Linked DNA regions of Macaca mulatta. Each later gene encodes a partner of the first gene's protein in a complex. Links are inferred from orthologs where the notes say so. Each region holds a gene or a part of one and is shown in the gene's direction. Other genes may lie near its edges. The genes, in order: TMEM237, B9D2 and MKS1.

Region 1 (7,323 bases):
ATATGCTTATACCTGTTATAATAATTACATTTTCTCTACAAAACTTAGCTGAGCATGATGGTATGTGCCTATAGTCCCAGCTACTTGGGAGGCCTAGGTGGGAGGATCACTTGAGTCTGGGAGGCAGAGGCTGCAGTGAGCTGAGATGATGCCACTGCATGCCAGCCTGGGATAGAGTGGGACCCTGTCTAAAAAAAATAATAATTTTATCTATATTTAGCAACATTCTTTCAATTAACAGAGGGTAAAAAAAAATTACTACTTTCTAGTTAGCTAGCTTTGTAGAATTTTGAGAAAATATGTTTTAAACATTATTAAAAATCATCTGTGCAAAATTTGCGGACCTTACTGTTTTTATAAGTAGTTTCACGACTGAATGTGACAGCATAACAAACTGTATTTTTTCCATTTGTCCAATTAAGTCTGTACTATCCATATTTTTCTATTTCTCCTAAAGGATGAAGACCTACAAGAGATGGAAAATTTAGCCCAAAGAATGGAAACTCAGTTTGGCCAATTTTTTGATCATGTGATTGTGAATGACAGCTTGCATGATGCATGTGCCCAGTTGTTGTCTGCCATACAGAAGGCTCAGGAGGAGCCTCAGTGGGTACCAGCAACATGGATTTCCTCAGATACTGAGTCTTAATGAGACTTCTTGTTTAATGCTGGAGTTTTAACACTGTGCCCTTGTTACAGCGATCCACAGTTGCAATCTAAAACAGCAGTATTTGACCCATTATAATGTGTACAACTTTAAAAGTGCAGTAGTTTATTAATTAATCTTATTTGAAAAAATTTTTATTGTATGGTTATGTAGTTACCTATTTGGCTCTTAAAAATTTTTTTTCCTTTATCTCATATGCAGCTGTAGTAGAAATATGAATAATGTTAAGTCACTGAGTATGAGAACCTTTTGCAGATTTCATATCTTTTAAAGATTTAAATAAAGAGCTTTCCTAAATATAATAAGCAATATTTAACTTCAGAAATTGTATTTTACTCTATGAAACGTGTTTTATGAAAACATCTTTTGGCCGGGCGCGGTGGCTCAAGCCTGTAATCCCAGCACTTTGGGAGGCCGAGGCGGGTGGATCACGAGGTCAGGAGATCGAGACTATCCTGGCTAACATGGTGAAACCCCGTCTCTACTAAAAATACAAAAAACTAGCCGGGCGTGGTGGCGGGCGCCTGTAGTCTCAGCTACTTGGGAGGCTGAGGCGGGAGAATGGCGTGAACCCGGGAGGCGGAGCTTGCAGTGAGCCGAGATCACGCCACTGCACTCCAGCCTGGGAGACACAGCGAGACTCCGTCTCAAAAAAAAAAAAAAAAAAGAAAACATCTTTTACCAAAAGTGCTTACTTAATTCAGCAAGAAAGGTTTAATATGCACATTTCACATCTAAAATCAAAACCTACAAAAAACTGCACTGCCTTCACTATTTACAAATCAGCCTACAAGGAAAAAATTATTCTCATCAGAGGTGTGACAAACACGAATTTTCCTTACAGCCAATGTCTACATGCATGCCTAAATTAGAAAAGGCAATGGATTAGTCCAGGAGACCTATATATAGAAGAATCACAAGATTGAAACCGTGTCTCAGAGTTAAACCAGGGACTAACAGAAATTCTTGAGCGTGCAGGACAGCAGATAAAAAACAATTTGCTAAAACGCCTAAACTTCTTCTATTGTGAGATTAAAAAACAAAATAAAGCAAACTGGCTGAAATTGGTTAGGACTAACACGGATGGCTACCTGAAGTCTGTACAAAATGAGCTTGCTGGCGTTACAGCTCGAGTCTTCCCCCATGTTTCATACTGACTCCCTCCAAAATTTGCACATGCGACCCATGAAGCGACATGAAGAGGTAACCGCGAACGCCAAAAGATTTTCCAGATGGCTTCTTTCCTTCCACCAATCATTTACTAATCCCAGAATCCATTCCCTAAACCTTTTCTAATAAAAATACTGTCTTAAAGCCAGCACAGGGAGACAGATTAGAGCTATACTCCTGTCTCCTTGTTAGTTGACTCGCAATAACAACTTTTCTCAAAAAACCAGCATCATAATATTGGCTTCTGTGCATATAGGGCAACAAACCCCGTTTGTTTGGTAACAAGATTAGGATGCCATTACAAAGTCCTGTTTCTCTTTCTTCCCCCAGATTTGAGATTTCCAGGCGCTTTCCCTGTCCCTGTATCTGTTCATCTTCTGCATCATTCTCTTCTCCATATCCACATCATTCTTCCATCTTTCTCATCTCTTTCTTAACTGTAAAATAGAATGCATGATTCAAAATATTTGTAGTTCTGTTACTTAAAGTGAAAGTTATCTTAAAAAAAAAAAAACCTAACCAAATAAAACTATGCAAATTAAGTAGTTTGTAGTGATATTTATGTGAGGTCGGATTTGATTTTAAGGTTCTTCAAGAAAAAGTTTTTCCAAATTTGATTTACACAGTTGTGGGATGAAGGGTAAGCAATCGGAGAAAATGTGAGAATTGCCTATATTAATACACATCCACACACCCAGGCCCGCACAGACTCGTTGGTCCTAGAGAGTAAACACATTCGTCCCAAACCCAGCAATGCTTGGCAGGGCAGAGGCGGGCGGGGACCTGGCTCACGGGGAGGCGGCCTCGCCAGGCTGCAGCGTCGCGGGGAGCTGGGCTCGGGCCGCCGGCGGTTGCGCCGGGGAAGCCCCGCGGGGAGAGCACCATGAGGGCTGACTCGGGGGCTCGGCTGGAGGAGGGCCACCTGGTGAGCGGCGAGGGACGCGTCGGCCTCGAGGGGTGGCGGGTAAACAGCTACACTTGGCGGGGTGGGGGTGGGTGTGTGTGGGGGGCGCTAACGAGCTGGGGATCACTAAGGGAGAGCCTTGCTCATGGGGTGCGCGCGTCCGCCCCTCCAGCATTCACAGGAGTGGGACGGAGACCCAGGCGAGGCCGGGACCGAACTCCTGGAGTAGGGGAGAGAGGCCTGGCATGAAGTTTGCGGGTACCTGAGCCCGCGTTGCCACGACGACGCCTCACTTCTCTGAGGCCCAGCGCCCGGCGGGTGCTGGGGCTTCCAGCCAGGCCTCTCATAGACTCCCCCTCCGAGAGGGCAGTAGCTGCCTAGAAAAGATCGTTGTTTGCCTGCGGAGTCCTTTAACCAAGGTCTTCCCTCACGCCTCGCTCCCCGCAAACAAATCACCGCGACCACTTAGGAAACCACGGGAAAGCTGCGATTGCAGCGCCACGGTCGCCGAATCTCTGCTCCTGGGCACATTACCCCAACTCAGAGGCCCCTTTTTTGGCAGGGCTAGTCTGGACTGGCCAATCCAGGTCCCTGCGCGTCTCTCACCCCAACTTACCCACCCGGCGGCGCTGCCCGATGACGCATTGCGCCTGCGCGCGCGACAGAGCCGGGAGGGGTGCTTGCGGGCCGGCGGCTGCCGAGGCCGGCTAAACACAGAATGGGGAAGAATCCTGTGGTAAGCGAGCCTTAGCTACTTTTAGTTGTTAGGATTTTTGTCTTCAGTTGAGCCGTCCTACTTTTGAGGAGTAGAGGTTGGGTCTCTGGGTGGGTGGAATGTCATTTTTGCGGGACTTTTGAAATCAGTTTCGTGAACTGAGTCCTTGGATCGATCGCGCGCGTTTCGTAGCATCTGTAGAACAAGCGCGTTCCCGTGATTGTCATTCTTTTCCAGTTGTGATTTTGACTACTGGATGGTATTACGGGAGCTTGCCTCGTCCTAATCTTGTAGTACTTGCGTTAATCTACTGTTCGAACGAATGGATTGCTAAATGGGACAAACTACAAAAATGTCTAAAATTTAACCCTTTTGAATAAATGTCTTATGCAAGCAGCATGAGATACTTGGAACATTAAATTGGCTTCTAGGCATTTCTCTTAGTATCTAATTCTGAAAATACTTCTCAACTGTAATGCTCTCTGACTGCAAACACTTTTCTTATTCATATAAATGAGCGTTTAGAAGGGTTCCCCCCACCATTCTTTCTGCCCTAAAACGCATTCTTCCCAGTATATTCAAGTGGCCTTTTAAAAATTTGTGTTAGTATGTGGTTTAAAACTTCCATTGGTTTCCCATTGAATTAAAACAAAATCCAAACTCCTTGCCTTGGTCTGCAAGGCCCTAACTAAATCTGGCTCCTGCCTACCTCCTTGGCAATTGTGCGGCAGCCTTGCTGTCCTTTTACCTGAAATATTCCAGGCTCAATTTAACCTAAAAATCTTTGCATTTGTTCCGGTTGCTCCTTTCTCATTCAGGTCTCAGCTCAAATATCTCAGAGAAACTTTCCCTAACAAAAGTAGCACTCAGTCTCCTTCATTCATTACGTTTTGTGTGTTTGTGTTTGTGTATATATACACAAGGTATGTATACAAGATATATGTCTTAAATATAGCATATATATGTTACACATGCTGCATATAATATATAGTATATATTATATATATTTAACCTTGTTTCTAATAACCACTAGAATGTAAGTTCCATAAAAGCAGAGTTCTCTCCGTTTTGTTCATTAGTGTACTCCTAATGCTTAGAAAAGGGCCTGGCCTAGAGATAGAAAGGAATGTAGGAAGGAAATAATTTTATATGAAATTTAGAATGGGAGAACAAATTTTAAATTGCCCATGTTTCTCATCAGTACCTCCCAGGTTTCACTAATGAACAAGATTATCAAAAGATTTGAAGATCCTGGTCCGATCCATTATATTTTTCTGTCATGTCTGAACAACAGACTTTTGAAAGAAGTGGTTTCACCGGGCATAGTGGTTCACTCTTGTAATCCCACCACTTTGGGAGGCCAAGGTGGGCGGATTACCTGAGGTCAGGAGTTCAAGACCAGCCTGGCCAACATCGCAAAACCCATCTCTGCTAAAAAACCAAAACTTAGCCGGGCATGATGGTGGGTGCCTGTAATCCCAGCTGCTTGGGAGGCTGAGGCAGGAGAATTGCTTGAACCCAGTAGATGGAGGTTGCAGTGAGCCAAGATCGTGCCATTGCACTCTAGCCTGGGCCACAGAGCAATACTCCGTCTCAAAAAAAAAAAAAAAAAAAGGAAAAAAAGAATAGCTTTATGGTGTTTGGGATACATGAAGTAAAGATGCTCTAGGCTTTTACTTACAAGCAAATTTCTTTTTTTCCCCCACAGCGTCCTCCACGAGCCCTTCCACCTGTGCCAAGGTAAACATAATTTACAGTAATTTCATTATTGAGCTTTAAAAATGGAAAACGAAGACAGTAGAAAAATTAACTAGTATCATTGCAAAATTACAATGATTCTGGAAACTCTTCTGAAAAATTTAGGGATTTTCTGAAATTTTAAAGGTGAAAAATCCTTGAATTATAAGAATAGCAGTTAAAATTGAATGTTAAATTTAAAAGCCTGAATATCATCATGGTAGGATAATGGATCCATTCCCTTTCTAACTGTTTTAGTGTTTTTTTTTTTTTTTTTAATCAGAATTCTGATCTTTCGTTTGTGAGAATAGTTTCCTCAGAGTTTAAGCTGATTTTAATCAGTGACAAGTAAGAGTTCTTAATCTGCTTAATCCACTTTATTAATAGACAGTAGGGAATATGTATATGTGGGTTCAGAAAATATTGACATTATTTTATTAGTAGTGTTATTAAACAGCTTATTAATTATAAACAGTAAACTAGTCTGTAAACTAGCTATTACATGAAAGCTAATTTTATTTTAAATTTGTAATGATTTAAGTCAATTTTCACTGTGAATATTAACAGGTTTCTAATTAATTGTTCCTTTTTTGTCTTTGTCCTGCTGATTAAATTTGTTTGGTGTTACATGACATGTTAGTCAAGGTGAGTTAGTTTAATGTGAATATAAAATTTTCTAAATATAGTATTTGGTGTTCAAAAATTAGTTTGATTCCTTGGTTTGTTTATCTTAAAACCGAATCTGAATGGTGTAATTTGTAATTCTACAATATGTTTTTGTCAAATAATCTCCCATGACTACCATTTAAAAATTGTCTTTAATACATAGCACTAGATGACCTTGCCATTATAAAAGCACTTCATCCCTGAATGGGGTCACCGAGCACACAACTGTTGGCTAGTTTGTAGCTCTGTAACGAGGACTGCACCTTCCTTTGTCTCATTTAGTCAGGGTAGACAAGGTTATACCATACTAAAAACCCCCAAATCTCAGTGACTTAGTATCACACAGGGTTATTTCTAATTAATACCAACTCCGCTATGGCAAAAACTGGGGACAATTGCCTTTCACTACCTTTTTACTATTGGTATAGCAATCTAGGCTACTTCTTTTTTTTTTTTTTGAGACAGTATCTTGCTCTGTTGCCCAGGCTGGAGTGCAGTGGTGCAATCTTGGCTCACTGCAATCTCTGCCTCCTGGGTTCAAGTGATTCTTCTGCCTCAGCCTCCTGAGTAGTTGGGATTACAGGCGTGTGCCACCATGCCTGGCTACTTTTTGTATTTTTAGTAGAGACAGTGTTTTGCCATGTTGGCCAGGCTGATGTTGAACTCCTGAGCTCAAGTGATCTCCCCATCTTGGATTCCCAAAGTGCTGGGATTACAGGCGTGAGCCACTGCGCCTGGCTTGCAATCTAGGCTACTTCTATGCTGTGGTCCCACCATCTTAACATGAGGCTTCCTCAGTCACCACAACAAGGGAAGAGAAGCTGACAGATTACTCACTGGCTCTTTCAACGTTTGGCTCTGAAATGACACAGATCACCTGCTCACAGCCTATAGGCCAGAACCAGTCATAGACCACACCTATGTGCAAGGGGACTGGGAAATGTAGGGGATCAGATGAATATTTGTTGAACCCACTTTCTGTGTCATGGTTTCTAACATTACTGACTCGCAGTGTGCTACTGGTACCACAGTGTGGGCGCTCTCTGGTCTTCTCAATTTCTTGCCTTCTTCCCCTAATCTATAAAAGTTTGCTGGGCCCAGGGAAGAGAGGGAAAATTCTTCCCTGCTAAAAGTTCTCTTCTGATTGTTCTCTGCACTGAATTTTAGGCAGCCTTTTCTGTTGACGTTTTCCCCTGCTTTATAGATGATATTCCACTTAGTCGTCCTAAGAAAAAGAAGCCCAGAACAAAAAACACACCAGGTAAGATGTTATTCTTTGTTGTGTGGGATCACAAGTTTTCCCAGGACCTCAGGCATGGTAAACTTCACAGATCAGGGAGAAGTAAGGCCCCAGCAGCCCAGAATCACCACTTCGTTGAGGAGAGAATTAAGGCCAGTTTGAAGCAGTGGAATTCCTGGTGGTGGTCAGGTGCAGGGCAGTGGGTAGCCTGAGGAGTATCTGGA
Region 2 (7,426 bases), on another chromosome or scaffold:
CTGAGATTACAGGTGTGAGCCACTGCGCCCGGACTTTTTTTTCTTTTTAGAGAGTAGAAGTCTTGCTCTGTCGCCCAGGCTGAAGTGCAGTGGTGTGATCTCGGCTCACTGCAACTACCGCCTCCCAGGTTCAAGTGATTCTTCTGCCTCAGCTTCCCAAGTAGCTGACACTACAGGCATGTGCCACCACACCCATCTAGTTTTGATATCTTTAGTAGAGACGGGGTTTCACTATATGTTGACCAGGCAGGTCTCGAACTCCTGACCTCAGGGTATCCACACGCCTTGGCCTCCCGAAGTGCTGGGATTACGGGCATGAACCACTGAATCCGGCCTCAATGATATTTTCTGAATCTTGTTATTTATGGTTGACAGTAATTTTTTTTTCTCTTATTTAACATGTATACATGGGAGCCTTCAGAATGAAGACCCCAGCTGGGAGCAGTGGCTCATGCCTGTAATCTCAGCACTTTGGGAGGCCAAGGTGAGTGGATCACCTGAGGTCAGGAGTTTGAGACCAGCCTGGCCAACATGGCGAAATCCTGTCTCTACTAAAAATACAAAATGGAGGCAGGAGGTGCCAGCCAGGTTGTGGAGAGCCTTGTCATGCATGGTAAGACTTTGGCTTTTACCCTGAGTGAAATGGGGACCACTAGAGGGGTTTGAGCAGATGGGACCTGACTTAGGTGTTCACAGGGTTCCAGATGCATGTGGGCTGCAGACTAGGAGGGTTGGGAAAGGAGACCCCAGAGACAAGGTCCCTGTCATAGTCCAGGTGATAGATGAACTTGGACAGATGAAGGTGTTGGGCGACAAAGAGGTGAGAAGTGGATTTTAGGGTGCATTTCAAAAGTAGAGACAGTTAAGATTTCCTGATGGACAAAATGAGGGCTTGAGAAAAGAGAGAGCAAGGCTGATGCCACCACTAGGGGACCAGAGGCCCCAAGAGCTGAAAGGTTAGAGCTGTCTTCCTCACCCACACAGCATCCAGAAAGATATAAAAAACCCATCTCTACTAAAAATACAAAATTAGCTGGGTGTGGTGGTGTGCGCCTGTAGTCCCAGCTACTTGGAAGGCTGAGGCAGGAAAATTGCTTGAACTGGGAGGCAGAGGTTGCAGTAAGCTGAGATCGCGCCACTGCACTCCAGCCTGGGCGACAAGGCGAGGTTCCATCTCAAAAAAAAGAAAAAAAAAAACTAACAAAAATCCAAAATTATAAGGAGGGGGCAACATTTCAGTAGGATAACATTTATATTAAACAATTCACTGGAATATTTCACTAGTTGATATATGCATTATTTTGTTATTTTTGTAGAGATGGGGGTCTCACTATACTCGACCTTCTGGCCTCAACAGCTCTTCCCGCCTCAGCCTTCCAAAGGGCTGGGATTACAGTCATGAGCCTAGCCAAGGGTGGCTTTTAAATACTCGTGTCTATTGGCCTGGCTGGGTGGCTCAGGTCTGTAATCCCGGCAGTATGGGAGAGCAAACTGGGAGGCTAGCTAGAGCCCAGGAGGTCAAGACAAAGGCTGGGCAACACAGCAACACAGCAGGACTCCATCTCTTAAAAAAAAAAAAAAAAAGAATTAGCCAGCCGTGGTGGCGCATGTGTGTGATGCCAGCTACATGGGAGGCTGAGGTAGGAGGATCCCTTGAACCCAGGAGTTCAGAGGCTGCAGTGAGCTGTGATCAAGCCACCGTACTCCAGCCTGGGTTACACAGTGCGACCCTTTTATGGAGTCTTGATGGGACCTGATGACTGGCTTGATGTGGGAAATGATGGCATCTATGATGGCATCCAGGGACATCTCCATTTCTTGATTGAGAAATCAATCAATAGAAAAGAGGATTTTCTGCAAATAAGGGGATCCCAGTTCCTCATTTCTCTTCGCTACCCCAACGGTTCCTTGCTCAGACTCAAGCAGTTTAACAGTGAACTTGGTAGTAGCTTGGTAGAAGTTGGGTAAGTCCAACTTCCTTCCTTGTCCTTGAAAAACCTAGGGGAACTCTAAAACGGAAGCAGAACCCACTCCCCAATTTCTCCACTCTCTGTGAATGAGGAGTGATTTTTTTTGCTTTGTTTTCCAGTTATGAGGTAGGGGATGTACATGAGGTCCTGGAAGGAATTCCTCCTTGGTCATAGTTCAGTCTCTGATTTGTGATCCCGGACCATAGAGAGCTCTTCGGTGGGGTCCTCACGCAGCACGGAGCAGTTACGGATTTGCTTTTTTTGGTAAAGAGGACATCTGGGAGAAACTGCACTCAAACTTCCTCAGCCACACTCAACATGGCAGCTTCCTAGCCACGGCCAAAATGGCGGAACCCTTTGCCGTAGCTGGAGAGACGCTATTTTCCCAAAATGGAGCGAGAGGAGGAAAATGTCCATCACAGTTTCACCCCGCCTCCCGGGGACGGCTAACACCAATCAGTGGCGCGGAGGGCGAGTACAAAGCCAGGGGAGGAGCCTGCTGTTGCTCCAGCAACAACCACGGAACCCAAGGCGAGCGCGGACGCGGAATATCGCGGATTCCATTTCTCGCAGCCGGGAAGGTCCTGGGAAAGGCGCGAGCCAGGCCTGGTAGGCGCCCGCGGAGAAAAAAACGAGTCAACTCAACCCCATGAACTACAACCCCCGTTGCCGCTTTCGCCCCTCCTAACCGTTAAGTGCGCTAAGGTAGGAATAACGCATGCGCTGCGCTTGGAGGCGTGGCTAAGTCGGCCCGGAACTCAACGCATGCGCCTTATAGAGCTTGCTGGGTGAGGGAAGCGGGGTGGCTGACATGACGCGGAAGGCGGGTCTTTTCGCTCGTGGGCGGGGCTTTCCGCTGACCTGAACCCAAAGAAGGTATTTTAGACCTCGCAGAGTTAAATGCTGGTTCCCCCCAGACAAGGGTCCCCCCATTTTTTCCAGGCTTTCATGGGTTGGCAATTAGGATCTGTGGTCAAGACCTCAGCCTCAGGGGTGTGAGGAAGCTAGCTTGGAATCCTAGTACTACCCTTTACTTGCTGGGCCTCAGTTTCCCCTCCTGTCAAATGGAGATAATATACTTACCTCACAGGGTTGTGATTATATTTTTTCCCATCCCAGGGCCATGGCTGAGGTGCACGTGATCGGGCAGATCATGGGGGCCAGCGGTTTCTCGGAAAGTAGCCTGTTCTGCAAGTGGGGCATTCACACAGGTATTCCCCCAGGCCTGGTTAATTTCCACACCAAGACCCCTAGCCTAGAGGCTGCATGCTCCTTCCTCGACCTGTTAACGCAGCGCCTTAACCTCATCTTCCATCAGCTCTCTGTACTCCAGGCTTAGCCCACACCCTGTCCACGTGAGTCTCAAGCTCCCATCTGTTTTTTCGTTTGTGCAGGGGCTACGGACAGGGTCTCTCTCTGTCGCCCAGGCTGGAGTAAGGTGGTGTGATCATAGCTCACTGCAGCCTCGAACTCTTGGGCTCTAGTGATCCTCCCACCTCAGCCTCCTGAGAAGCTGGGCCTACAGGCACGCACCACCAAGTGTGGCTAATTTTTAAACTTTTTGTAGAGACAGGGTCTCGCTATGTTGCCCAGGCTGGTCTCAAACTCCTGGGCTCAAGCAGTCCATCCGCTTCAGCCTCTCAAAGTGCTTGGATTAAAAACATGAGCCACCACATCCCAGGAAAGTAATTTTGTTCATGCTTCCCCAACTGAGGCCCTGTAGAGTCATGGTATAGTGTAATGGTTAGGGCCATGGGCTGCCAGATCTGGATTTAAATACTAACTCTCCCTTCTATTAATTGGAGACCTTTGGACTTGACCTCTCTGAGCCTCAGTTTCCTTGTCTGAAAGTGAAGCTAATAGCAGCCAAGAAGCAGCACAGGTTTGAGGTTAAGAGCACAGACTGCCTGGGTTCAAAACTAGTTATTGCTTGTTAATGCACTCTTGGGCTGATTATGTGACCTTGGGCACTTCTCTTCACCTCGACTTCTCTGTTTGTACAATGAGAGTAATAGAAATATTTACCTGTTGAAGTTGTCATGAGTACTAAACAAATATCAACAGCACTTAGAATAGGAATAGGGCTGGAATATGAAGTGCCCATTCAGTGTTTGCCTGGCTCATACAAGACTTTGATGGGGTCTTGTTTGTAAAGCCTGGGGTATGTGGTTGCCTGGCACAGATAAATGTCCATGAAACAGATGTGGCCATTTGGCATTATCATGTCTTCAGGCCTGAGTCTTAGTCCCTTTTTTTTTTTTTTGAGATGGAGTCTCTCTCTGTTGCCCAGACTGGAGTGCAGTGGCGCAATCTTGGCTCACTTCAAGCTCTACCTCCCAGGTTCACGCCATTCTCCTGCCTCAGGCTCCCATGTAGCTGGGACTATAGGCACCCGCCACCATGCCCGGCTAGTTTTTTTTGTATTTTTAGTAGACAGGATTTCACTGTGTTAGCCAGGATAGTCTCGATCTTCTGATCTCGTGATCCACCTGTCTCGGCCTCCCAAAGTGCTGGGAGTACAGGCGTGAGCCACCGCGCCTGGCCGTTTTTTTTTTTTTGAGACAGAGTCTCACTCTGTCGCCAGGCTGGAGTGCAGTGGCACAATCTCGGCTTACTGCAATCTCTGCCTCCTGGGTTCAAGTGATTCTCCTGCCTCAGCCTCCCGAGTAGCTGGGATTACAGGCGTCCACCACCACACCCAGCTAATTTTTGTATTTTTAGTAGAGATGGTGTTTCATCATGTTGGCCAGGCTGGTCTCGAACTCCTGGCCTTAAGTGATCCGCCCGCCTAGATCTCCCAAAGTGCTGGGAGTACAGGTGTGAGCCACTGCCCCTGGCCTCTGGTCCTTTTTGATTCTACAGGTAAGTGAGGTAGAAGTTGAGATTCCCAGGAAATCAGGACCCTCCAGTTGATGGAAGAGAGGCAGACTCTGGAGTCAGACTTGGTTTCCAGGTTCCACGCCACCACTCACCTTCTCTGTGACCCTGGGCAGATGCCATCCCCTCTTAGAACCTCAGTTTCCTCATCTGTTCTTCATAGGGCTGTTGGGAAATCTTGCTTTTAAGCAGCCTGACTGAGGGCCTGGTGCTTCCCTCACTCAGCCCAGAAGGGAGTAATGACTAACCTGATTTTTATTACTTCAGGGAGTTGCTGGGGGTGTTGACCCAGCCAAGAATACTGAGGCAGTTGGATGAACGGCTTGGGCTCTGCAGTTAGAGCTGAGTCTGAATCCAGTTCCATGATGGGACCTTGGTCTGCTATAGTCACAGCTATGTCACCAGCATGGAAAACAGTGCTTGGCACACAGCAGGTGCTCAATAAATGTTCATGAACTTACCTTTTCAGAGCCTGTGTCTTTACCTGTTAAATGGGGATTATATTAGCTCCCAACTCCTAGGATCACTAATTTGTCCAAGAAACATTTATTGAGCACCTTCTGTATACCAAGAGCTGGGTTTGTGGTCTTGGAGATCCAGCAGTGTGCAAGGTCCCTGTTTTCCTGGGCCATACGGTAGGGGAGACAGAAAATAAATAAGCAGGCCAGGCACGGTGGCTCATGCCTGTAATCCCAGCACTTTGGGAGTCTGAGAAAGGCAGATCACCTGAGGTCAGGAGTTTGAGACCAGCCTGGCTAACATGGTGAAACCCCATTTCTACTAAAAATACAAAGAATTAGCTGGGCATGGTGGCATGTGCCTGTAATCCCAGCTACTTGGGAGGCTGGGGCAGGAGAATCACTTGAACCCGGGAGGTGGAAGTTGCAGTGAGCCGAGATGGTGCCGTTGTACTCCAGCTTGGGCAACAGGAGCAAAACTCTGTCTCAGAAAAAAAAAAAAAAAGAAAAGAAAAGAAACAGATAAACGAGTGCAGTTGGGTGTGGTGACTCACCCCTGTAATGCCAGCACTTTGGGAGACCGGAGCAGGAGGATCACTTGAGCCCAGGAGTTTGAGACCAGCCTGGGCAGCATAGTGAGACCCCCGTCTCTACAAAGAAATCACAAATTAGCAGAGCATAGTGATGTGTGCCTGTGGTTCCAACTACTCGGGAGGTTGAGGTGGGAGGATTGCTTGATCCTGGGAGGTTGATTGCAGTGAGCTGTGATTGTGCCACTGCACTCCAGCCTGGGTGACAGAGGGAGATCTTGTCTCCTCCTCCTCAAAAAAAAAAAAGAAAGCAGCACCGTGATTACAGACAGTGGTAAGTGCTAGGATGAAAAGAAAAGATGTGACAGAAACTAGTGTTTGGAGAAGAGGGTCAGGGAGAACCCCTCTGTGGAAGTGGCACTTGAGCTGGGCCCTGAAGGATGAAAACAAAAGCTAGGGATGGGGACATCCAGGAGCAGAGCTTTCTAGGCAGAGGGAACAGCCAGTGCAAAGGCCCTGAGGTGGGAAGACAGAAGTGGGACAGTGAGGCCAGAGGGTGATGAGGGATGGGGAGAGTGATGGGAGATGAACTCAGGGACGGGAGCAAGAGCCAGGCCATGTGGGCCATGGTGGAGAGTGTAAACTGGGGAGTGAGGAGGGAATTAAGAGTCCTAGAGGGTGAATTAAATGAATGCATTGCCTAAAGTGCTTAGCATAGCATCTGGGATTTAGTAAGTACTCGGTGTATTTTCTTATTTTTTTCTGAGATGGAGTTTCACTCTTGTTGCCCACACTGGAGTGCAATGGGAACATCTTGGCTCACTGCAACCTCCGCCTCCTGGGTTCAAGCGATTCTCCTGCCTCAGCCTCTTGAGTAGCTAGGACTACGGGCGTGCGCCACCATGCCCAGCTAATTTTTGTTATTTTTTTTAGTAGAGACAGAGTTTCAGAATGTTGGCCAGGATGGTCTCGATCTCTTGACCTCATGATCTGCCTGCCTCGGCCTCCCAAAGTGCTGGGATTACAGGCATGAGCCACCACACCCGGCCATACTCAGTACAACTTCTCTCTTTCTTTGATTTTTTTTTTTTTTTTTTGAGACAGGGGCTCACTCTGTCGCTGAGGCTGGAGTGCAGTGGCACAATCATGGCTCACTGCAGCCTCAACTTCCCTGGGCTCAGGTGATCCTCCCACGTTGGCCTCCTAAGTAGCTGGTACTACAGGCATGAGCCACCATACCTGGCTAATTTTTATATTCTTTGCTTGGCTTGGTTTGGCTTGGGTTTTTGTTTGTTAGTTAGTTTCTGAGACAGAGTCTTTCTCTGTTGCCCAGGCTGGAGTGCAGTGGTGCGATCTCAGCTCACTGCAACCTCCACCTCCTGGATTCAAGCGATTCTCCTACCTCAGCGCCCCGAGTAGCTGGGATTATAGGCGTGCGCCACCATACCTGGGGCTAATTTGTGTGTGTGTGTGTGTGTTTGTGTGTGTGTGTGTGTGTGTTTTTAGTAGAGATGGAGTTTCGCCATTTTGGCCAGGCTGGTCTCGAACCCCTGACCTCAAGTGATCCACCTGCCCTGGCTTCCCAAAGTAC
Region 3 (7,305 bases), on another chromosome or scaffold:
ACTTTACATACCTTATTTCCTTTAGTCCTTACAACAACCCTTTGAGGTGAACACTTTTCTTATTACTACCTTATAAGTGGGGAAACCGAGATTGAGGAGCTAAGTAGTCTGCCCAAGGTTACATAGCTTGTAAGCGCGAGAGTCAGGATTCTGCCCCAGACCAGCTGACTCCAGGGCCTCTGCTTCACAGTAAAATGGCGGTGGGTCAGGTGCTTGTGCCTCCAGCTCTTGATGATCCTTCCCACTATTGCTTTTCTTCTTCTTCCTGTTCAGAACTGAACTTTGGTCTAGCTTGGGTTACATCTTGAGTTTTGGTTTGGTTTGTTTCCTCAGCTTTATGGCCGGCACAAGGAGTATCTCAGCAGCCTCGTAGGCACTGACTTTGAGATGGTGAGTAGCTTGGCTTCCTGCAGCACTGTGAGCTGTGTTTAGCCGGAGCATTCTGACTGTGGATGGGTTACAGCACTTCTCTTAAAGGCCTCCAAGGTATACTCTACGGTGTGAAAAGGAAGTCAAAGAATAGCACATATAGTCCTTGTTATGTGTTTTGCAACATTGCATGTTGATAGAGAACTGTTAATGCCGAGAAAAAGGCCTGAAAGGCTACGCATATGCTGTGGGTGGCTTTTTTGGGGAGGGTGGGATTAGATGTGGTAGATGGGTAGTGGGTAGTGAGAGGGATATATCAGGGATTTTTGCTTTTTATTCCCTAAACTCAGGTAGTTTTGAATTTTTATCAGTGGTAATGTATTTATGTATTACTTTATAATTAATTTAGAAAATAAATATAAGGATGAAAAATGTCTTCTTCACCTTTCATGTGGATATTTTTTCAAAATACCCCATAGAGAGGCAGGGGTGCCATTTCTGTTTGTCACATATTTTGGCTCTTAAAAAATATAGGCCCGACGTGGTGGCTCATGACTATAATCCCAGCACTTTGTGAGACCAAGGTGGGAGGATCACTTGAGGCCAGGAGTTTGAGACCAGCCTGGGCAACATAGTGAGACCACATCCCTACAAAAATTAAAAAAAAAAAAAAATTAGCAAGTCATGGTGATACATGCCTGTAGTCCCAGCTATGCATGATGCTGAGGCAGCAGGATTGCTTGAGCCCAGAAGTTTGAGTTTGCACTGAGCTATGATCACACCACTGCATTCCAGCCTGGACAACAGATCAAGACCCTGTCTGAAAAAAAAAAGAAAGTGGTTTAGTTCAGCTATTCTGTCGTGCTGTTCTTTGTCTTTTCTCGTTCTAAGTGTTCCATCGCTAGACCTGGAAACAAGGATAGAATTACTGGTCTCCCTCTCTTTCTCTGAAAAATTAACATTCACTGTTTCCATATTGCATAAGCAACAGATATTCAGTATTTAAAAGTTAGATAAGACAGATGCACAAATAATTAAAAAAGAAAACTCCCTGGTTTCTTGACCTCAGCTGTGTAAAGGGAACCGGGCATTCTGGCTTCCTATTGCACACCACAGGGCAGTTGCTGTTGCTTGGCTAATTTCCCATAGTGCATTGTCCTTACTGCCATTTAAATTATGTACTTTCCCCTTACATTATGTATCTTAGGAATGAAGGAAACAGATCTGTGGAGAAGTGTCAGGGTGGGGAGAAAGTGCAGTAGTGACACCCAGGATCTGACCCCCAGTGTCAGGATATCTGCAGATTTGTAGATGAGGCTGGAGGAGAAGTGCCAGTTCCCTTCAGGCCTGCTGATCCTTTCCCACTTCTCTTCACCTTAGACTGTCCCAGGTGCCCTCCGGCTCTTTGTAAATGGAGAGGTAGGTAAGTGTCTTGCTAGCATAGATCTCTTGATGCTAAGGCACGTGCCTAGATGTAGCCGTGAATAGTCTCCTCCACCCTGGTAGAGGTCTTGTCTGCTGTACTTGGGAAACTCAGTGGTGAGTCTTTCCTGGAAATGCAGAGGGTTCCTGGCCCTCAAAAGACTTGCTCTCAGGGTGTGTTGGACCCTCAGGACTGGGTTGGGTGCTAAGGGTGGTAGGATAAAAAGCTAAAATAGCTTCCTGTTTTCTCTCTTAGTTTCAGCCCAAGGCTATGAGTATGACAATCTCTACGTCCACTTCTTTGTGGAATTGCCAACTACTCGTAAGTAATATTCTTAAGTCTCTCTTTTATACCCATTCAGACAGATGTAGAGGCATTTGGTCAGGCTTCCTTTCCCACTCCTCTGCTGAAACTGTTACTGTTCTTTTCAAGGTTGTAGATCACATCCACTTTGCCAAACCCAGTGGGAACTTTCCTGCTTTCACCTCGCTTGACCTTCCTGAAGCATTTGCCAGAGCCCACTGTGCTGCATGACACACTTCTCTGGCTTCTGGCTCCACATTCTCTCTCCTGTCTCACTGGTGGCCCCTCACCTTCCTTGGGTAATGCCTTCTCTTCTGCTGATCTTACACCGTGAGGGTACCCATGGCTAAGCCAAGGCCTTCTGTTACTCTCTGTCTGCAGTCTTCCTGGGTGACCTCATCCATCCCATGGCTTAAATACCATCGATGTGTCTCAGACTCCCAGGTTTCTGCCTCCAGCCTTAGCCTGGACGCCAGACTCGTATCCAGTTACCTCTTTGTCATTTCTGTCTAACATGATCAAAGAGAACTCTGGATTCCTCCTCTTCCCTCAAACCTCTCCTCCCTGGTATTCCCCATCCTAACAGAATGGCAGTATCTGAGTTGCTGATGCCAAAAACCTAGGGGACATCCTTGATCCCTCACTTTCCCTAGCTCCCTATAGCCAGCCAATCTGTCAACAGTTCCTGTGCGTTCTGTCTTCGAAAGCTGTTGTGAACCTGTCTGTTCTCTCCAGCACCCTACACCAAGCCACCACCGTCTCTTGTCTAGGCCAATGCATTCAACTTCTGACTTATCCCCCTGCTTCCTGCCTTGCTCCCATTTGCAGTTCATTTGCCACAGACACCAAAGCCAAGTTGAGTTTTAAAAAATGTAAACAAGTTATGTCCCTTTTGAGCTGAAAACCCCCAAGAGCTTCGCCTCCCACTTAGAATAAAATGTAAACTCAATACCCTGAATGAGCCTCTGCCTATCTCTTCCGTACAACATTTCAGTCGTTCTTCCCAGCCAGGTTCATTCCCCCCTTAGAACCTTTTAAGGGCCGTTTCCTTTGTCTGAAACCCTTTCTGCCATATCTTAGCATGGCTGGTTCTTTCTGAGTTTAGGTCTCAACCTGTGTCACTTCTGAAAGGCCTTCTCTTACCACCCGGCCTAAATGAGCCTCCCAGTCACTCAGTCCCTTCCCGTTTTGTTTGAATAGAGCACTCATCACTACCCAATAGTCTCTTGTTGGTTTGTTTTTTGTCTCCCTGATTCCCCCAGAATGTCAGCTCCATGAGAGATGGGGATCTTTTCTATCTAGTTACCAAGATACCCCTAAGATATACTAGCACATAGCAGGCACTCAGTAAATGATAAATGAATGATAGATTGTGTGAATAAATGAATAAAGAAACTTTGTCTTTTTCTGAACGACTTGCTTTCCTCCCAGGTGAGCTTACTATATTTGTTCTTTGGCTTTCAGACTGGTCAAGCCCAGCATTCCAGCAGCTCTCAGGAGTAACACAGACATGCACCACCAAGTCCCTGGGAGTGGTATGGAGAATGAGAGCGGGTATCTGGAAGGGAATGAGATCTGCTCCTGGGATGGCATTTGAGGTTTTGTCAGGCCAAGTGCTGTGCACCCTGGGGAGGATTCTGAGTTGGGTGACTTGTGTGTGGGTTCTGCAGGGCTACCTGGCCCGGAGGTCCTCTCTGCCTTTTTGAGCATGGCAGCAGCTTGTCTTCGGGTGTCCCTTTGCATCTCAGACTCCTATTTCCCACCTGGGTGATAATTTTTCTTTTTCCCTTGTGAAGATAACCTTGTCATTGGCCACAAGGAGAACAAATTCCAAGGGAGGGCTTGCCCACCCTATGACACTCCTTTTTATAGGACAAGGTGGCTCACTTCTCCTACCCATTCACATTTGAAGCCTTCTTCCTCCATGAGGATGAATCTTCTGGTGAGTAGCTCAGCAGTTGATCCTGGGCCTTGGTTCCCCTCAAGCAGTGCTGTCTTGGTGAAGGCCCGCCTGTGACCTGGCCGCTTCTCTCGTTTCTCCCAGATGCACTCCCGGAGTGGCCTGTGCTCTACTGTGAGGTCCTCTCGCTGGACTTCTGGCAGAGGTACCGTGTGGAAGGCTATGGGGCTGTGGTGCTGCCTGCCACTCCAGGTAACCGCTTGTCCCCGCCCTTCCGTGGCTCACATGCCCTAGGCCCTACGAGCAAGACTAACACTCGAATGCTTCTGGTGAGGGGTGGGGATAGCTGGGAATTAGAAGCATTTGGCTTGAAAGAGTTCCTGTTCCTCTGAGGACTATCTGCCCCACTCCACTAGAGACAATAGCGTGGCCTTGGCGCTGACTTCCTGACAGTCTTGCCATGTGCTTCGTGCTCCTCTGATTGGACTCAGGGTGAGAAGCTGTATGGCAAAATCGGCTCATAGCATGTGTGTATGGAATGAAGCAGCATTCAGTTTGGAATAAAAGCATCTGTCTTCTACTGTGTGCCAGGCATTGTGCCATACTTCTCACTTATTCTCCCAGCCACTCTGTGCGGTGCAGGTGGTATTATTTCCATTTTACTAGATGAGGAGAATGAACTTCAGGGAGGTTAAGAAACCTGTCCTGGGTATGCAGGGAATAACTGGCAGAGCAGAAATTTGAATTTCTCCCTGATTGACTTCCAAACAGGTGCTATGGGTAACCATGACAACCTTCACCAGAGGCCAGGTCATCACCAGACCAGGTGTTTTAGCAAAGTCTAGGCCTGTGTCATTGCTGGGGAGTCAGTGAGGGGCCACATGCCCTTTCTGGACCCGGCCCCAGTCTCCTCTTCCCTTACGCAGGCTCACACACCCTGACAGTCTCCACATGGAGACCTGTGGAGCTTGGCATGGTGGCTGAGCTCAGGAGGTTTTTCATTGGCGGTTCTCTGGAACTGGAGGACCTCTCCTATGTGCGGATACCAGGATCCTTCAAGGTGACTTTTGTCTTTGGAGCGACTTCATGCTGGGAACTGATGGTCCTGTCCTTCTGTTCTGTAGGAGGTGGGATCTGGGTCAACACCCCTTAGTTGTGCATTGCTTCAATATTAGCCGCTTCCTTCCTATGGCTTAAGCTGGAAGTCAGGACCACATTTTGAACCAGGTTCCAATATCTACACTGCTATCATAGGAGGTCTCTGGAAAATAGTATAGTTAGAGATTTCCCTTGGTCCCCATCAGAATAACGGGCTCTTTCTTTCCCCCGTCACTGAAGGCCTCAGTAATCAGATGTGGGAAGGATTCACAGTAAGCATGTAAGACCGCTGCCTCTCAGATGAGGTTGGAATGTTCCCTGGTGTAGTTGGGGGAGCCCAGTAGCCCAGTATTAGCCTTGAGGTAATAGAGTCTGGGTGATGGAATAAGGTTTCCCCAACAGAACTGTGCTTCCTAAGAATGGGAATAAGAACCGGGGCGAGGCCAGCATACTGCGGGGGTGTCTAGAGACGGCAGAAACCTGATGCTCTCCCAATGGCATGCCGCAGGGGGAACGCCTGAGCCGCTTTGGACTCCGCACAGAGACCACAGGCACCGTCACCTTCCGCTTGCACTGTCTGCAGCAGTCCAGGTGAGGGACCTGGCCCTCTGCCTCGGGGCACCTTATCCCTGAGGGGTGGAGAACAGCCGTAACCATGTGGCTGGCCTCCCTGCAGGGCCTTCATGGAATCGAGCTCCCTTCGGAAAAGGATGCGGAGTGTGTTGGACCGTCTGGAAGGGTTCAGCCAGCAGAGTTCCATTCACAATGTGCTGGGTATGTCCCCTCCCCAAGCTGGCCACCCCGGGTCAGCATGGGCCTGTTGGGCAGCCAAATACCATATCTCCTTTCCTTACAGAGGCCTTCCGTCGAGCCCGGCGCCGCATGCAGGAGGCCCGGGAAAGCCTCCCGCAGGACCTAGTGAGCCCCTCTGGAACCCTGGTCTCCTAGCTCACAGCAGCCCTGGGCCACAGTGCAAGAGGACAAGATGGGGGATGTTTGAGGCCAGTGCTCTCCTGCCTCTTCGTCTGTCTGACTAGAGACCACGCTGGTCTGCTGGGAACCAGAAGAGCTGGGAAATTCCCAGCTGGCCCCTCTGCCTAGCCTTCTGCAGGGTTTTCTCCCTACCCTGGGGAAATAAAGCCAGAGACCCTGTGGCCCCCCCTTCATGTTTGCAGTCACTGTAAATGGGCATCACAGCAAGGCAGGCTTTTTGGTCTGAAGCTGTTTGGGGTGACCCCATAGTGAGTATGGCCTTGACTCACTTTTCTGGCTTGTCTCACAGTAGCAGGGGGATGCAGGGATCTGCTGTTCTCCAGCCTTTAAAAATGGAGCCTTCCTTCTTGCAAGACCAAAGAAGGAAGGAAGGAAGGTGGACGGTGAGAGGGGTCTTAAATCCCCAGCCTGTGAGTCTCAGCCTCCTCTTTCCAGGGCAGCCTCATTCTACTGCTTGGGGCTTGCTGAGGTTGAGATATGAGTTATTTCTGAGTAGGTGAAGGTTGAAGGCAGTGCTGAGTCCTTTCTGCTAGCTGGTTGGTATCTTTTACTGTGTTCTTTTTGTTTTTTGGGTTTTTTAAATCCATAAACCCCTTTTATTTTGACTGATGTTCCGTTGGCTGTTTGTCTGCTCAGGTTGCTGGTATGGCTGGGGTGTTCTTCTTAATGTCAGGGCCCTACCATGTCTGCCCTTCCTCTTTTCTGCCTTTCCCTACTCCACAGTGTTTCTTTGGGCTCTCCTAATTCAGCCCCCAGGAGAGGCTTAGATGGTTGTGCCAGCGTGCGTGTTAGCAGCACTTCTCTTCAACACCTGGAGCAAAGCATGGAACTGAGGCCACGTCCTCCCTAGCCCCACACAGAAACAGCAGCCCCTGCCCTTAGCAGTGCTTTATTGGTAGAAGCAGAGCATGCTGCCCAGCCTCAGGCTCAGAGGAGGACTGTGGGGTCTCTGCAGGCTAGGACTGAGTGGTCTCTCAGTCACGGTGAGGGAGGGGAGGGAGGGCTGGGAAACAGTAGAAAGTGCTGTAAACCCTCCAGCTGACTTTTCTTGCCTGGGGTGCAAGACAACATAGCTTGGCTCCCAAGCCTTTGCACGTGGCACTGATTCATAACCTAATACCTAAGAGACTCCCACGGCGGGAAGGTCCATTGCTGCTAGGAGCCCCCAGCTCTCACTCCCGGCTGGGGAACCCAGCTCTGAGCTGTAGCCAGCAGAAGC

The links.
Region 2: TMEM237 (region 1) and B9D2 share a complex: the UniProt entries of both Homo sapiens proteins name them as parts of the tectonic-like complex. The link is inferred for Macaca mulatta from reciprocal best matches to the Homo sapiens genes TMEM237 and B9D2.
Region 3: TMEM237 (region 1) and MKS1 share a complex: the UniProt entries of both Homo sapiens proteins name them as parts of the tectonic-like complex. The link is inferred for Macaca mulatta from reciprocal best matches to the Homo sapiens genes TMEM237 and MKS1.

The regions. Positions count from the first base shown.
Region 1 is NC_133417.1:106,786,989-106,794,311, reverse strand, and holds the start of TMEM237 (transmembrane protein 237), read left to right. Parts: upstream 1-2,636; 5' UTR 2,637-2,720; coding exon 2,721-2,762; intron 2,763-3,419; exon of another isoform or gene 3,420-3,459; coding exon of another isoform or gene 3,460-3,477; intron 3,478-5,164; coding exon 5,165-5,196; intron 5,197-5,833; coding exon 5,834-5,838; intron 5,839-7,063; coding exon 7,064-7,120; intron 7,121-7,323. Other genes in the region: MPP4 (MAGUK p55 subfamily member 4), read left to right, coding at 458-649. UniProt on the Homo sapiens protein: Component of the transition zone in primary cilia. Required for ciliogenesis.
Region 2 is NC_133424.1:52,504,915-52,512,340, reverse strand, and holds the start of B9D2 (B9 domain-containing protein 2), read left to right. Parts: upstream 1-2,461; 5' UTR 2,462-2,675; intron 2,676-2,769; exon of another isoform or gene 2,770-2,846; intron 2,847-3,089; 5' UTR 3,090-3,093; coding exon 3,094-3,181; intron 3,182-7,426. UniProt on the Homo sapiens protein: Component of the tectonic-like complex, a complex localized at the transition zone of primary cilia and acting as a barrier that prevents diffusion of transmembrane proteins between the cilia and plasma membranes.
Region 3 is NC_133421.1:51,776,808-51,784,112, forward strand, and holds the end of MKS1 (tectonic-like complex member MKS1), read left to right. Parts: intron 1-333; coding exon 334-390; intron 391-1,749; coding exon 1,750-1,792; intron 1,793-2,047; coding exon 2,048-2,113; intron 2,114-3,559; coding exon 3,560-3,630; intron 3,631-3,967; coding exon 3,968-4,037; intron 4,038-4,139; coding exon 4,140-4,247; intron 4,248-4,411; coding exon of another isoform or gene 4,412-4,437; exon of another isoform or gene 4,438-4,580; intron 4,581-4,766; coding exon of another isoform or gene 4,767-4,840; exon of another isoform or gene 4,841-4,921; coding exon 4,922-5,055; intron 5,056-5,601; coding exon 5,602-5,684; intron 5,685-5,769; coding exon 5,770-5,867; intron 5,868-5,949; coding exon 5,950-6,041; coding exon of another isoform or gene 6,042-6,130; 3' UTR 6,131-6,695; downstream 6,696-7,305. UniProt on the Homo sapiens protein: Component of the tectonic-like complex, a complex localized at the transition zone of primary cilia and acting as a barrier that prevents diffusion of transmembrane proteins between the cilia and plasma membranes.